Linked DNA regions of Ovis aries. The protein of the gene in region 3 binds, or shares a complex with, the protein of the main gene of each other region. Links are inferred from orthologs where the notes say so. Each region holds a gene or a part of one and is shown on either strand. Other genes may lie near its edges.

Region 1 (4,376 bases), on a different chromosome or scaffold from region 3:
AGCATGAGGGGCAGGCACTGTGGCAGGGGTCCCCAACCCCTGGGTTCTAACGCCTGATGATCGGAAGTGGAGCTGATGTAATAATAATAATAAAGTGCACAATAAATAAAATGTGCTTGAATCATCACCAAACCATCCCCTGCCTCCAGTCGGTGGAAAAGTTGTCTTCCACTAAACTGGTCCCTGATGTCAAAAAGTTTGGGCATCGCTGCACTCACTATGGGATGCAAAGTGGGAAGAAATGAGAGAGGGGACCCACTATGGGGTGGAAGGTTTCAGGACAGCAGCAGACAAAAAAGGAAGGGGCCAAGTGTGTATCAGGTTCAGACAGGAAGAAACCCAGGCTGACACATGTGCCCGCCAAGCACCCAGAGCCAGAAGAATGAGATTCAGATACCAAGGCTTGGGAGCTGGCCAGGGGCTGAAACAGAAGTGCATTCCAGCATGGGGAGCGCACAGTTCAGATCATCAGTGGCGCTAGCGGTAAAGAATCTGCCTGCCAGCACAGGAGACACTAGAGACACGGGTTTGATCCCTGGCTTGGGAAGATTCCCCTGCAGGAGGAAATGGCAACCCCACTGGCAGTATTCTTGCCTGAAAATGCCACGGACAGAGGAGCCTGGCAGGCTACAGTCCATGGGGTCGCAGAGAGTCAGACATGACTGAGCGCACCATAAGATTACCCTATGGGCATGTAGTGGGGGTGAATAGGAAAGACCAGGACAGGGGCCTGGGAAGGAGGCTGGGCAGAACCAGCACTCAGGCTCCAAGCCAAGGCAGGGCTGAGCTTCCACGCAGAGCTTCCACTCAGACCTGCACCTCACCAGGAGGCTTCAAGAGTGACACTATCACATTCCCTTTTGGAGAATACTGTTCACAGCAGTGTGGCTGGGGGACTGGCCGGAACAGGAGCTACTGTGGAGGCTGCTGCAGTGGCCTCGAAGGAATGAGGCTGTGGTGGCCAGGTTTAACTACTGAGGAAAGAGGATGAGAAGCAGAAAATCACAAACCTCACACACTGCTTGACCGGCTGACTGGTGGAAGTCTCCTCAATGGAAGGAAGAAGGTTTTTTCCTCTGTGGGCACCCGGACGCCCCTGTCCGAGTCCCGCAGATGTGGGCCAGTCACTAACTCCTCTTAGCCTCAGCCCTCAGGGCCCACTTCCCCGGGACCTAAAGCCCCAAGTTGTCAGTGCCAGGGCCACTCTGAATGAGGTCAGAGGAAGTGGACATTTCTCTCTCCTTCCTGCTCGCTCACCCTCCCTTCTAGAAATCTCTTATCTGCCTCCGTCACACCCACAAGCTAGCCCTTCCAAGGGCCACGTCCAACCATCCTTGTCCTTGTTCTCCACCTGGCCAGATTGCCTCGACGGCCCCCATTCACGGACCCCCACACCCCCACCCCTCTCTGGGCTGGAGGGTGACAACCGCGAAAAGGAGGGCGACTCTCTTCTCCGCGGGGCTTCAAGTGACATCACATCCTCTGAATTCGAAATCGGGCTCGGAGGCCGGTCGAAGGGCGAAACTTCGCCCTCCCGTCGGTGATCCACCGGCTGCTGCGCGCCTCGGAGTTTCCGCGGCAGGGAGCGCGCCATGGCCTCACTCTTGACCTCCCTGATCCTGCCGCTGGCCCTGCAGCTGCTCGGTGAGCTGGCGACCCCTGGGGGAGGCGGGGGCGGGGCTGGCATGGGACTGGGGGAGGTGGGGGAGTCGGCGCCGGGCTCCCAGCTCAGTCTCGCTACCCGTGTCCTGCAGATGCCCCCAAGGTCCTAGGGTCGCTCTCGTTCCGGATGTCGCCGACGCAGAAGGAGACCAGACTGGGCGAGACGGTGGAGCTGCAATGCGAGGTGGTGCAGTCCGGCATGGCGTCAGGGTGCTCCTGGCTCCGCCAGATACCCGGGGACGACCCCAGACCCACCTTCCTAATGTATCTCTCGTCCCAACGGGTCAAGCTAGCCCAGGGACTGGACCCCGACCACATTTCCGGCGCCAGGGTCACCGGCTCCAAATTCCAGCTCACCCTGAGAAACTTCCGCCAGGAGGACCAAGGCTACTATTTTTGCTCAGTCTTGAGCAACTCGGTCCTGTACTTCAGTAACTTCGTGCCTGTCTTCTTGCCAGGTTCGGCGCCCCGGGTCGGCTTTGGGGTTCGCGTCTGAGTCCGTTTTTCACAGGGACACCGCTACTTTCGACTCTCTTGGGGTTCGAGCCTCTGGGGGCTACTTATATACTGTTCCCAATTCACAGAGGAGAAAACTGAGGCTAGGGTGCGACTGGGTAGTAATTCAAGGTGACTTTTTAGGTCTGGTTGATCTGGGCTCGAGTTCCGAGCTAGTATGATCCTGGGCAAGTTACTGCACTTCAGTTATCTGAGCTTCCCACTGCTGGTCAGGAGAAGGCCGGTGTCCCACCGTCCCACCCCTGCCTCCTCCAAGCCCTCGACGTTTCTGGTGGGGCCCTGGAGAGAGGCTGGGCGGAGGGGCACGGGCCTCTGTGTTCATGTCCAAGGCACCCAGTGTACTCAGACGACCAGGTGGTCTTTCAGCATCTCCCCGCGCTGAGCGCCGAGCTCCGCTGAGCCTCTACGGCTCCTCCAGTGGCTAATCCGGAGGGAGTGCCCCCTTAGCAAAGGCTGGCGGAGAGGTGGGAAGGGTTCGCGGGCACAGCTCCAGCGCGGCCCCTAACCACTCTCCGTTGTTCCCGCAGCGAAGCCCACCACCACGCCGGCGATGCGGCCATCCACGCGCGCGCCCACCATCGCGCCGCAGACTAGGTCTGTCTCTCCGGGCTCAGAGGTGTGCCGGCCCTCGGCGGGCAGCACAGGTGAGGCGGGCGCGGCAAAGGCCCTCGCCGCCGGGGCCACGCTGATCTTCCTAGCAGCCCAAGCGGTGGGGAAACGAAAGCCGGAACGGGAAAAGGGACGTGCCCGCACCAACGGGGTGGGATAGGGTTGGTGGGGGGGTCCCCAGGGTGGGGTGGGGGATCCCGGGCCCTCTCCTAAATGTCCGCGTCTTCTGTGTCGTCAGTGGACAAGGGCGGGCTGGACTTCGCCTGCGATATCTACATCTGGGCTCCCCTGGCCGGGACCTGCGCCGTCCTTCTCCTCTCATTGGTCGTCACATGCATCTGCTACCGCCGTAAGTCCTGGGGAATCGCGCGGGAAGACGCAGCCCGATTTTTGCAGCGCTTTGCTTTAGGCAGCCCTTGAGGGCAGTTCAGTTAGTTGGGTTCGGATTTCTGGAACTTTGAGCTGCACCGCAGGGCCAGGCACTGCCTATGTCTTTCCTGGAGAGAGAACGCAGGGAAAACCCCTTCTCTTTCCACATCCCGGGAAGTTTTTAGGAAGGCATAGCCCCATCCCCAGAGCGGCAGCGGCAGGGGTGGGGTGTTCCACCCGCAAAGCCCGCAGGTCTGGGCTTATTACAAACGCCTAGGATGGGGAAGGAAATCGCAACCCACTCCAGTGTTCTTGCCTGGAGAATCCCAGGAGCTGCCGTCTGTGGAGTCGCACAGAGTTGGACACGACTGAAGCCACTTAGCAGCAGCAGCAGCAGCAGGATGGGGATGGGAGCAGGGCGGGGCCCGGCTGTGGCCCTGGCACCAGAGCCCAGGAAGCCCGGGTCAAAATCACTACAGGCAGTGGTTTATCCTTGGCCCCCTCCTTGTGAGCCCCCACCCATTTGGATCCTACTGCAGGTGGCCGTACTAACCCACGTTCACCCACGTCTGTATTTGCAATGCTTTTTAAAGTGATGTGAAGAAGGGTGGGAAAGAAGACCTCACCTCAGTTCTCAAGAGTTAAATGCTACTTATTGCATAGCACTATATTCAATATCTTGTAATTATCTATAAAGGAAAAGAATCTGAAATATTTATTTACATATACATGTATATATACATTTACATATATATGTATATGTGTTATTCCATCAGTCACATCCGACTCTTTGGGACCCCATGGACTGTAGCCCACCAGGCTCCTCTGTCCATGGAATTTCCTAGGCAAGAATACTAGAGTGGGTTGTCATTTCCCCCTCTAGCGGATCTTCCTGACCCAGGAATCAAACCTGGATCTCCTGCATTGCAAGCAGATTCTTTATCTGAGCCACCAGGGAAGCCCCATATATTTACATATATATATATTTACATGTATAAAAACTGAATCACTTTACTATACATCTGAATCTAACACAATATTGTAAATCAACTATACTTTAATTTTTAACTTTTAATAATAATTATTAAAACTATAAAATGTAAATATGCTTTATAGCTTGTGTTTTAGTAAATTAATCTTCTTTTCAGTGTCAGTCATTATTATGCACTGTCATTTTACAAGTTTACTTTATTATGATGTATTTTTTCCAAATATTTATT
Region 2 (4,163 bases), on a different chromosome or scaffold from region 3:
CTCTGCAGACTGTGGTGGGGTGCCCTCCCCTTTCCTTTCCAGCTGTCTCGGGGTTGTCAGACTTGAGTGTGCAGCAGTCCCCCAGAGGGCTGTGAACACAGACGGCTGCACCCAACCCCAGCTCCCGATCCTGGAGGTCTAGGGTGGGCCCCAGAGGTTGCCTGTCTCACAAGTTCTCGGGTGATCACACATGGGGAATCACTGCTCCAACCCAGTGGCGCCCATTCCTCCAGGTCCATGCAGAGCCCTTCTGCGACCCTCTCCCCCACGGCCCTGTCTGTCTTCCAAGCCCACAGAAACTCCGGAGTATTGCCTTTTTGCTTGTCCCACTCAGAGGCCTTCTAGGGAATCACCCTCTGCCCTTTCCCTGACTGCATCCCTCATACTGAATCAGACCCCAGGTCCTGGGGGTTTTCTTTCAGAGCTCCTCCCTTAAGTCTGTCTCTCTGAGTTCAGGCCTCATCTTTTCCCACCAGGATTCTTGCAATCCTGCCTCCCATGCTTGACCTCCTCCAGGTCCTCTTCTGCTCAGCAGCTGGAGGGATCCATCCTGTAAGTCTACTCCTGTCCTCTAAGTAAAGCTCCCTCGAGCGCCCAGGGTCACAGCATTGCGGGACCTTCATGACCTGGCCTGACTCCCTAGTCTCAGTTCCTACTAATTTGCCACCTTCTCTGAGAATTCTTTTCTTCTTTTTTAAAAACTTTACTTCATACCAAAAGCTGTTCACTCATTTTATTTTGTAATTCATTGATTGATTAATTAAGTTTTGGTTGTGCTGGGTCTTCGTTGCTGGGCACAGACTTTCTCTAGTTGCAACGAGTGGGGGCTACTCTCTAGCTCCGGTGTGAGGGCTTCTCATTCTGGTGGCTTCTCTTGTTGTGGAGTGCAGGCTGTAGGACACGTGGTCTTCAGTAGCCATAGCATGTGGGCTCAGTGGTTGCAGCTCCCAGGCTCAATAACTGTGGCACAGGGCTTAGTTGCTCCCTGGCATGTGGAATCTTCCTAGACCAAGGATTGAACCCATGTTCCTTGCCTTGGCAGGCGGATTTTTAACCATTGGACCATGAGGGAAGTCTTTTGAGAATCCTTTTCTGATTCCCCCTGGCAAAGAACCCACCCCTGGCCCAGGCACAGCATGCGTGGCATGTAACCCATGGGTGTCTTCTTCAGAGGCCTGCACGTCTAGGTTCCCGCCTGGCTGTCTAGGTCATGAAGGGGACCCAGCCAGATGAACGCCTGCTAACTGCTGACTGGTGTCTCCCCCAGGCCGAAGGCTCAGGTCCTTGCCTGCCTCAGCAAAGCCACAATGGGCCCGGGGACCTCTCTTAGGCACCTGTTCTTGGTGCTGCAACTGGGTGAGTGCTCAGACTTGGGGTCTGGGTGCAGGTGGCTTGGGAGGAGGGGCTGGTTGGGGAATGCCAGGTAGGGGATGGGGCAACCACAGCCTCAAGGCCTGACTCCCCTGTTTTTCCACCTAGTGATGCTCCCGGCTGGCACTCAGGGAAAAGCAGTGGTGCTGGGTAAGGCAGGAGGCCAGGCAGAGCTGCCCTGCCAGGCTTCCCAGAAGAAGAACATAGTCTTCAGCTGGAAAGATTCTTCCCAGTCCAAGATTCTGGGGAGTCATAACTCCTTCTTGCACAAAGGTAGGTGGACCCTGCTCCCTGTTTAGAGAAGAGAGCCCTGGGGAATGAACACCCCGGTGGCAGGGCCCAGCTCCTAGTAAACTCTGGGGTTCTGGAGGGTTCTGCCATCAGCCAGAGTCTCAGGGACTCCCCAAGTCCGGAACCACCCTTTGCCAGCTACTGGCGGGCTGGGGAATGGCTTCTGGTGGTCTACTATAATTTCATTATTTTAATATTGATGACCTTATTTTAATGGATAGTAGAAAAATAGTTATCATACGAAACCCATGATTTCATGAATATTGTTGTTACAGACCAATGATGATACTTTGTTTACTTCCATTAAGAGCAACAGAATGTTTCTCCCTAGCTTTTTCAAAAATAATGTATTTATTTTTGAATGTCCTGGGCCTTCACTGCCACTTGGGCTTTTCTCTAGTTGTGGCGAGCGGGGGCTACTCTCTAGTTCATGCGTGTGGACTTCTCATCTCAGAGGCTTCTCTTGCTGCGAAGCGCAGTCTCTAGGCAAGGGCTTCGTGTGTGGCATGTGGGCTCCTGAGCTCAGGCTCAGCAGTTGTGGCACACGGGCTTAGCTGCTTCTCGGCATGTGGGATCTTTCCCCACCAGGAATTGAGCACATGTCCCTTGCGCTGGCAGGCAGATTCTTATCCACTGCGCCGTCAGGGAAGTCTTTTTCTAGCTTCCAAAGCGGAAAGAATTAAGATTTCAAAACTTCTTAGGAACATTAATTTGCAACCTTATTTTTTCACGTAAATTTTACCCTCATGCTCCTGTTTAAGTAACTCTTCTTTCTTCTGGGTATGGCTTCTAATATTCAATACATTATTGAATGGGAGAAAGTCATAGAGTCAAAAGTAGAAAAATGCCACCGGTGTGAAATGTATTTATTCTTTGTAAGTTTATTTGATTTATTATTGTTTTCATTTCACTGCTTATTTTTTTTAACATTTTCTCTTAATTCAAATGTATATAGAAGTTGAATAAATATATAATGAACCTCTGTGTATCTCTCTCAGGTTTAACAATGATCAATTCATGACCAATGTTGGTTCATATAACTGAATCACTTTGCTGTACACCTGAAACATTGTAAATCAACTATATTTTGATTTAAAAACACATCTATTATATCATCATCAATGCTTTAAAATTAATTCCTTTATGACAAAAATATCCAGTGTTCAAATTTTCCCAAATGCCTCATAATATTATTTTTCCATCTGGTCTATTTGAATCAGAATTCAAATAAAAATTCATGGATGGTATTTTCTTGATATGACCTTTGAATCTCTTTGAATTTATACATTTACTCTCCTTTTTCTGCCCCCTATTGCAACTGATATTTGAAGAAACCAGGCAATTGCCCTATAAGTTTTACATTGTGGTAGCATTCAACATGTTCCTCTGTCCCTTAAATCTCCTAGAAATGGTGATTAGATCTAGAGACATGATCAAGTTTATGTTCATTTTTTCTCTCAGTGACTTATTTAATAGCTGTACTCCATATTACAAGGCATTATAGCCCCATCTTTTTTTAAAATTGAACTATAGCCTCACTTGCGGTGTTGTGTTAGTTGCTGGTGTATAGCAAAGAGATTCAGTTATATCTATGCACTATTCCTCCCCCTTTGGCAACCATAAGTTTGTTTTCTTTGTCTGTGAATCTGTTTCTGTTTTGTAAATAGGTTTATTTGTATCGTATTTTAGATTTCACATATGTGTGATATATGATCGTTGTCTCTCTCTTTCTGACTTACTTTACTTAGTATGACAATCTCTAAGTCCATCCATGTTGCTGCAAATAGCATTATTTCATTCTTTCTTATGGTTGAGTAATATTCCATTATATATACCTTCTCTATCCATTCCTCTGTTGATGGACATTTAGGTTGCTTCCATGTGTTGGCCATTGCAAATAGTGCTGCTATGGACACTGAGGTGCACACGTTTGATCTTTTGACAAGATCGTTTTATAGATGGTGTTTTATATTACCAATTTCATCACATTAGGAGGCATGCAATATTTATTGCTTCTTTTGGACTATTAATACAAAACAATCAGCGGCTCAAGTTTAGTTTATTTATTTGTGCTTCCTAGGTGGCGTTAGTGGTAAAGAATCCACCTGCTAATGCAGGAGACTTGCAGGAGACTTGGGTTCGATTCTTGGGTTGGGAAGACCCCCGAAGTAAGAAAGGCCAACCCACTCCAGTATTCTTGCCTACAGAATCCCATGAACAGAGGAGCCTGGCGGGTTACAGTCTATGGGGTTACAAAGGATTGGACACAACTGAGCAACTAAGTCATTAAGAGATATTAATAAATTGAATTATTAAGAAGCGTTGGCAAGAATACACAGAAGAACTATACAAAAAAGATCTTAATGACCCAGGTCACCACGGTAGTGTAACCACTCACCTAGAGCCAGACATCCTGGAGTGTGAAGTTAAGTGTACCTTAGGAAGCATCACTATGAACAAAGCTAGTGAAGGTGTTGGAATTCCAGCTGAGCTATTTCAAA
Region 3 (4,080 bases):
GACCCAGAAGTGTTTCCTTTCGGGGCGCCTCGTGGGACTAACATTCTTTAGACCAAGTGTTGGAAATCTAGCTCAGATACCTTCCAACGAACACCCAGATGGAGGCCCCACTTGCCTCCATCCCACCCACAAACTCAGCTCCCCTCAGCATTGCTTTCACTGAATTGGGCTTGGCCTTGAAGCCATCAGTCTGTGGGTGTGTGCATGGATTTATAGGATCCCACTGTGGTGTTGGAGAAGACTCTTGAGAGTCCCTTGGACTGTAAGGAGATCCAACCAGTCCATTCTAAAGGAAATTAGTCTTGAGTGTTCATTGGAAGGACTGATGTTGAAGCTGAAACTCCAATACTTTGGCCACCTGATGCGAAGAACTGAGTCATTGGAAAAGACCCTGATGCTGGGAATGATTGAAGGTGGGAGGAGAAGGTGGTGACAGAGGATGAAATGGTTGGATGGCATCACCAGCTCAATGGACATGAGTTTGAGCAAGCTCCTGGAGTTAGTGATGGACAGGGAGGCCTGGTGTGTTGCAGTCCATGGGGTTGCTGAGTTGTATACAACTGAGTGACTGAACTGAACTGAACTGAGCTGATGTGTGATATATATGTGGTCCCTGCCTCTGCCTCTGAACATCCATGCACACCTACATTTTCCAGTGATGATATGAATGGTATTTGGGCTAGGAAGGGAAGGATCATGTGTGTGTGTGTGTGTGTGTGTGTGTGTGTGTGTGTGTGTGTGTGTGTGCGTATCTATGTGTCTGTAGGAAGGTATGTGTGGGACCCTCCTCCAAGATAGACCCTGTGGCCCAGCCTAAAATTCTCACACCCACTAGAACACACAGGAAACAAGCTCATTTGCAAAGCTACACCACAAGTGTGAAGGAATGGGCTGCCCACTGGCCTGCCAAGGTGCTGAGTAGGAGTAATTCCGGGTACGGACAGCACCCCCCAACACCCCCACCGCACACACACCCTTGGGTGCACCATTTGCAGGAGAAGTGGTTGCCTAACCTCTGTTAAGCACCTTCGGCATGCCAGTTACTACCCACAGCACATCACAGCCATTTTCTCTTTGATTTCCCACCAGCACTCTGTAAGGAGGGATTTATTATTGCCTCTTTACCAATAAAGCAACTGGAGTTTGAAGAGGTGAAGTCATTTGTTCAAGGAAATGGCAGAACCAGAATTGTGCCTGGGTCAGCCTGACTGTGAAATACATGTCCTTTGCGCTACACCAAACCCTCTGGCTCTCTTGTGTTTGGTCTTGCCCTGAGGTTTCTGCCCTCCTAGGATCCAAGGAACAACCCAGAGACAGTGACCCTAGCTGCATATCCTAGGTACTCTGCAAAATGGGCCTTTGTTCTCATAGCCGCCTGACTCTTCCAGGAAGCCTTCCGATCACCCAAGCGAGGCCTCCTCTCGACTTCTGGAGCTTCCGCTCATTCTCTTGCTCCATCACTTGGCCCTTTTTCCCTTTGAGAAGCGCCTCTGTCCCAGAGCTTTGAGGGCGAGGGACCCTGAATCATCCTTCAGCACAGGCTAGGGTGGGGGACGGCTGATGCCAGTCCAGGGTCTGGATGAGTCTAGGGAAGACCCAGCTTGTTTTCCAGACCCCACAAGAGGTTGCAGGCCTTGGAGCTGGGGATGAAAGAAAGACTGCGACATGGCTGAGACAGTGGAAACTGTTTCAAGAAAAACTCCAGTGGCGGTGGGGGAGGCAGGGGAAACCTGGAAAGTGTGGCTCAGGTAGGGATTTACCCCCATAAACTACAGGCTGAGAGCTAAAATTGAGGGGATGGACAAGGAGCTGATTCTGCCTCCCTGGGCCTCCACCTTCCTGGGGTCTGAAGCAGGAACCAGCAGGACCCACTGGCCCTAATCAGGCAGTGGCAGGGGCAGGGGTAGGGGGCAGGAAGGAGCAAAGGGAAGAGGAAAGGACATCCTGGCAGGGGCAGGCGTGGCAATTTTCCAGATGGAAATCCAGATGGTCCTTGCCCAGGGCCAACAGCACCCTTGTCCAGGATAAAAATAGCCCTTCCTCTTCCCTTCTCCCATCCTCCTCTCACCCCCCAACATCCCGGAGTCCTGTCAGATACTTCCGCCCCAGTCCTCATCCCAGATGATAAATATTCCCTTGCATGCCCATCCATTCCCAAAGGAAGACCCCCTCCTTCTCTCAAGCAGTGTGGGTCGAGGCTAAAGTCACTCCTCACGTGTCTGTCCGGATGCTCTGGGTGATTCCCCTCGCTCTCTCAAGAGAGTCTTGTCACTGGGGTCTACACCAGCAAGTGGAAGGACTCTTGGGACCCTTGACTCAAGCCTGTCTATCACCTTGCTCCAGTGGGGAATCACATCCTAGGCCATCACCTCTCCCAGGGCCATCACCCTCTCTGCCTCTGCGTTGCTGACGGACTATGGGGAGGGAGCATTTTGCCCAGTCTGGGGCTTAGGAGGCTTATCCATCATGGGATGAGGGGCTGGATGCAGGGATTTCTGAAGGCCTTTTCAGTACTTAAGAGATCCCCAAGGAAAAGGCTCCCAGTGAGGTGGGCTCTGATGGCAGGCAGTGTGGTGGAGGCACAGCTACACAGGAAAGAGGCGATCTGGCTGTTCAGCCTGCCTCCCACCTGACCTCCAGGTGTTTCTGACCCCAGCCTGATAGGCTGCGCATCCCAGGGGAGCCTGACCCTAGGCCCAGCTGCAGCCTTCTGCTCGAAGGTCCCACTCCCAGCCCTTAGGCCCCTGTTCCGGGTACTCCTTACCTGCCCAGCCCAGGAGCCCCCTGGCCCCATTCACATGGTCTTCCTGGCCCAGCCCGGCTGCCCAGACACAGCTTCGGCTCCCCTCACCGTCGTAGCCACTGGCTGTCTCCCCGCGCCCACGTCCCACCCTGACTTCCTGCCTCCTCCTGAGGGCTCCGCAGCCAACCGGGCCCCAGCAGCCCAACCGCAAGCCTCCAGCACCCCAAGCTTCCTGCTGCCATCGCCCCCTGCCTCTCAGCCCTCTAGGGTCCTTTCACCCCAGTCCAGGCCCCATTCACCCCGAAGGTGGCACCCGGAGGTAGAGGAGAATATTGGATGGAACTTCCTCCGCCCCCCCCCCCAGGGAGCACCTGGACCAGAGATTCAAGGGCCGCCTTGAAGCCCCAGTGAGCAGGAGGCAAGGAGACACCCACTCAGCTTTCAGTGAAGGGCAAGCTGCACGGCTATCAGTCTGAGAGCCAGGTGATCCTTGCACTACAGTCAGAGGGCAAAAGTAACATCCCCTCAGAGTCAGGGGGAACAACATCCCTGTAAAATCACTGGAGGGCAGATACGATGATAGATAGATACCAGGCGCACACAGCTGCTAGCCACACAATGGAACCACAGCCATGCCATCTCAGGGCATGGGGAAGAGCTTTATTATTTGCAGAGGGGAGGCTAAGACCCCTCCTACAGACAGTCTGCTGGACAACAGGCTGTTCAAGGAAGCAGACAGGACAACCCGGTGTCTTTAAGGGAGCAGCCTCTTTTGTGGGCAGAGGGCAGGACAACACCCCCTAATTATGGTTGGAGAGTAGGGCAACCCTTCTAACCCAGGTAGAGACAAGGCCACAGCCTCTGTCAGAGGCGAAGGCCTGACACCACCTCCTGCAACAGGTGGGAGACAGAACAAACACTCCTGCCCAGGCCCCCCGGTGCAGGCAACAGACTGGCAGCACTTTCTGCTACAGGCAGGAGGAAGGGACCCTGTCACAAGCACGAAGCAGGCCAACAATCTCCCTTTCCCCAGGAGCCAGGCTGAGGGTGGCGTACGTCAGAGGCTGAGGGCCAGGTCACCAGTGTTACGAGGAACTCTAGGTGGCCTCTCTCGGGCCCAAGAGCTGGGCCTTGGCCGCACCCATCGGAAGACAGAAGCCTGTTGCCACCGCCTGAGGCTGCACTGAGGTAGCAGGCTGGGGGAGGGGAAGCCCACAGAGCATTGTTGGGGTTTGTGAGGTGGAAGCCGATGCTGTATGCACCTTCAGCTGCTGCGGAGAGAAGGGGGAGACAGGAAATGGGTGGGGGGAAGAGGAAGCCTGAGTTGGAAAGTCAGA

The links.
Region 1: the proteins of LCK (region 3) and CD8A are in contact, whole or in part, in an NMR structure (PDB 1Q69), measured with the Homo sapiens proteins. The link is inferred for Ovis aries from reciprocal best matches to the Homo sapiens genes LCK and CD8A. Residues at the interface, in NP_001036236.1 of Homo sapiens: Cys20, Asn22, Cys23, Tyr25, Pro26, Ile27, Val28; in NP_001139345.1 of Homo sapiens: Arg212, Arg213, Val214, Cys215, Lys216, Cys217.
Region 2: the proteins of LCK (region 3) and CD4 are in contact, whole or in part, in an NMR structure (PDB 1Q68), measured with the Homo sapiens proteins. The link is inferred for Ovis aries from reciprocal best matches to the Homo sapiens genes LCK and CD4. Residues at the interface, in NP_001036236.1 of Homo sapiens: Glu15, Ile17, Val19, Cys20, Asn22, Cys23, Tyr25, Pro26, Ile27, Val28; in NP_000607.1 of Homo sapiens: Ala429, Arg431, Ile435, Leu438, Leu439, Lys443, Thr444, Cys445, Gln446, Cys447.

The regions. Positions count from the first base shown.
Region 1 is NC_056056.1:58,635,889-58,640,264, reverse strand, and holds the start of CD8A (T-cell surface glycoprotein CD8 alpha chain), read left to right. Parts: upstream 1-1,520; 5' UTR 1,521-1,592; coding exon 1,593-1,644; intron 1,645-1,754; coding exon 1,755-2,120; intron 2,121-2,705; coding exon 2,706-2,822; intron 2,823-3,025; coding exon 3,026-3,136; intron 3,137-4,376. UniProt on the Homo sapiens protein: Integral membrane glycoprotein that plays an essential role in the immune response and serves multiple functions in responses against both external and internal offenses. In T-cells, functions primarily as a coreceptor for MHC class I molecule:peptide complex.
Region 2 is NC_056056.1:209,484,884-209,489,046, reverse strand, and holds the start of CD4 (T-cell surface glycoprotein CD4 precursor), read left to right. Parts: upstream 1-1,307; coding exon 1,308-1,356; intron 1,357-1,479; coding exon 1,480-1,644; intron 1,645-4,163. UniProt on the Homo sapiens protein: Integral membrane glycoprotein that plays an essential role in the immune response and serves multiple functions in responses against both external and internal offenses.
Region 3 is NC_056055.1:235,285,980-235,290,059, forward strand, and holds the start of LCK (tyrosine-protein kinase Lck), read right to left. Parts: upstream 2,879-4,080; 5' UTR 2,765-2,878; intron 1-2,764. UniProt on the Homo sapiens protein: Non-receptor tyrosine-protein kinase that plays an essential role in the selection and maturation of developing T-cells in the thymus and in the function of mature T-cells. Plays a key role in T-cell antigen receptor (TCR)-linked signal transduction pathways.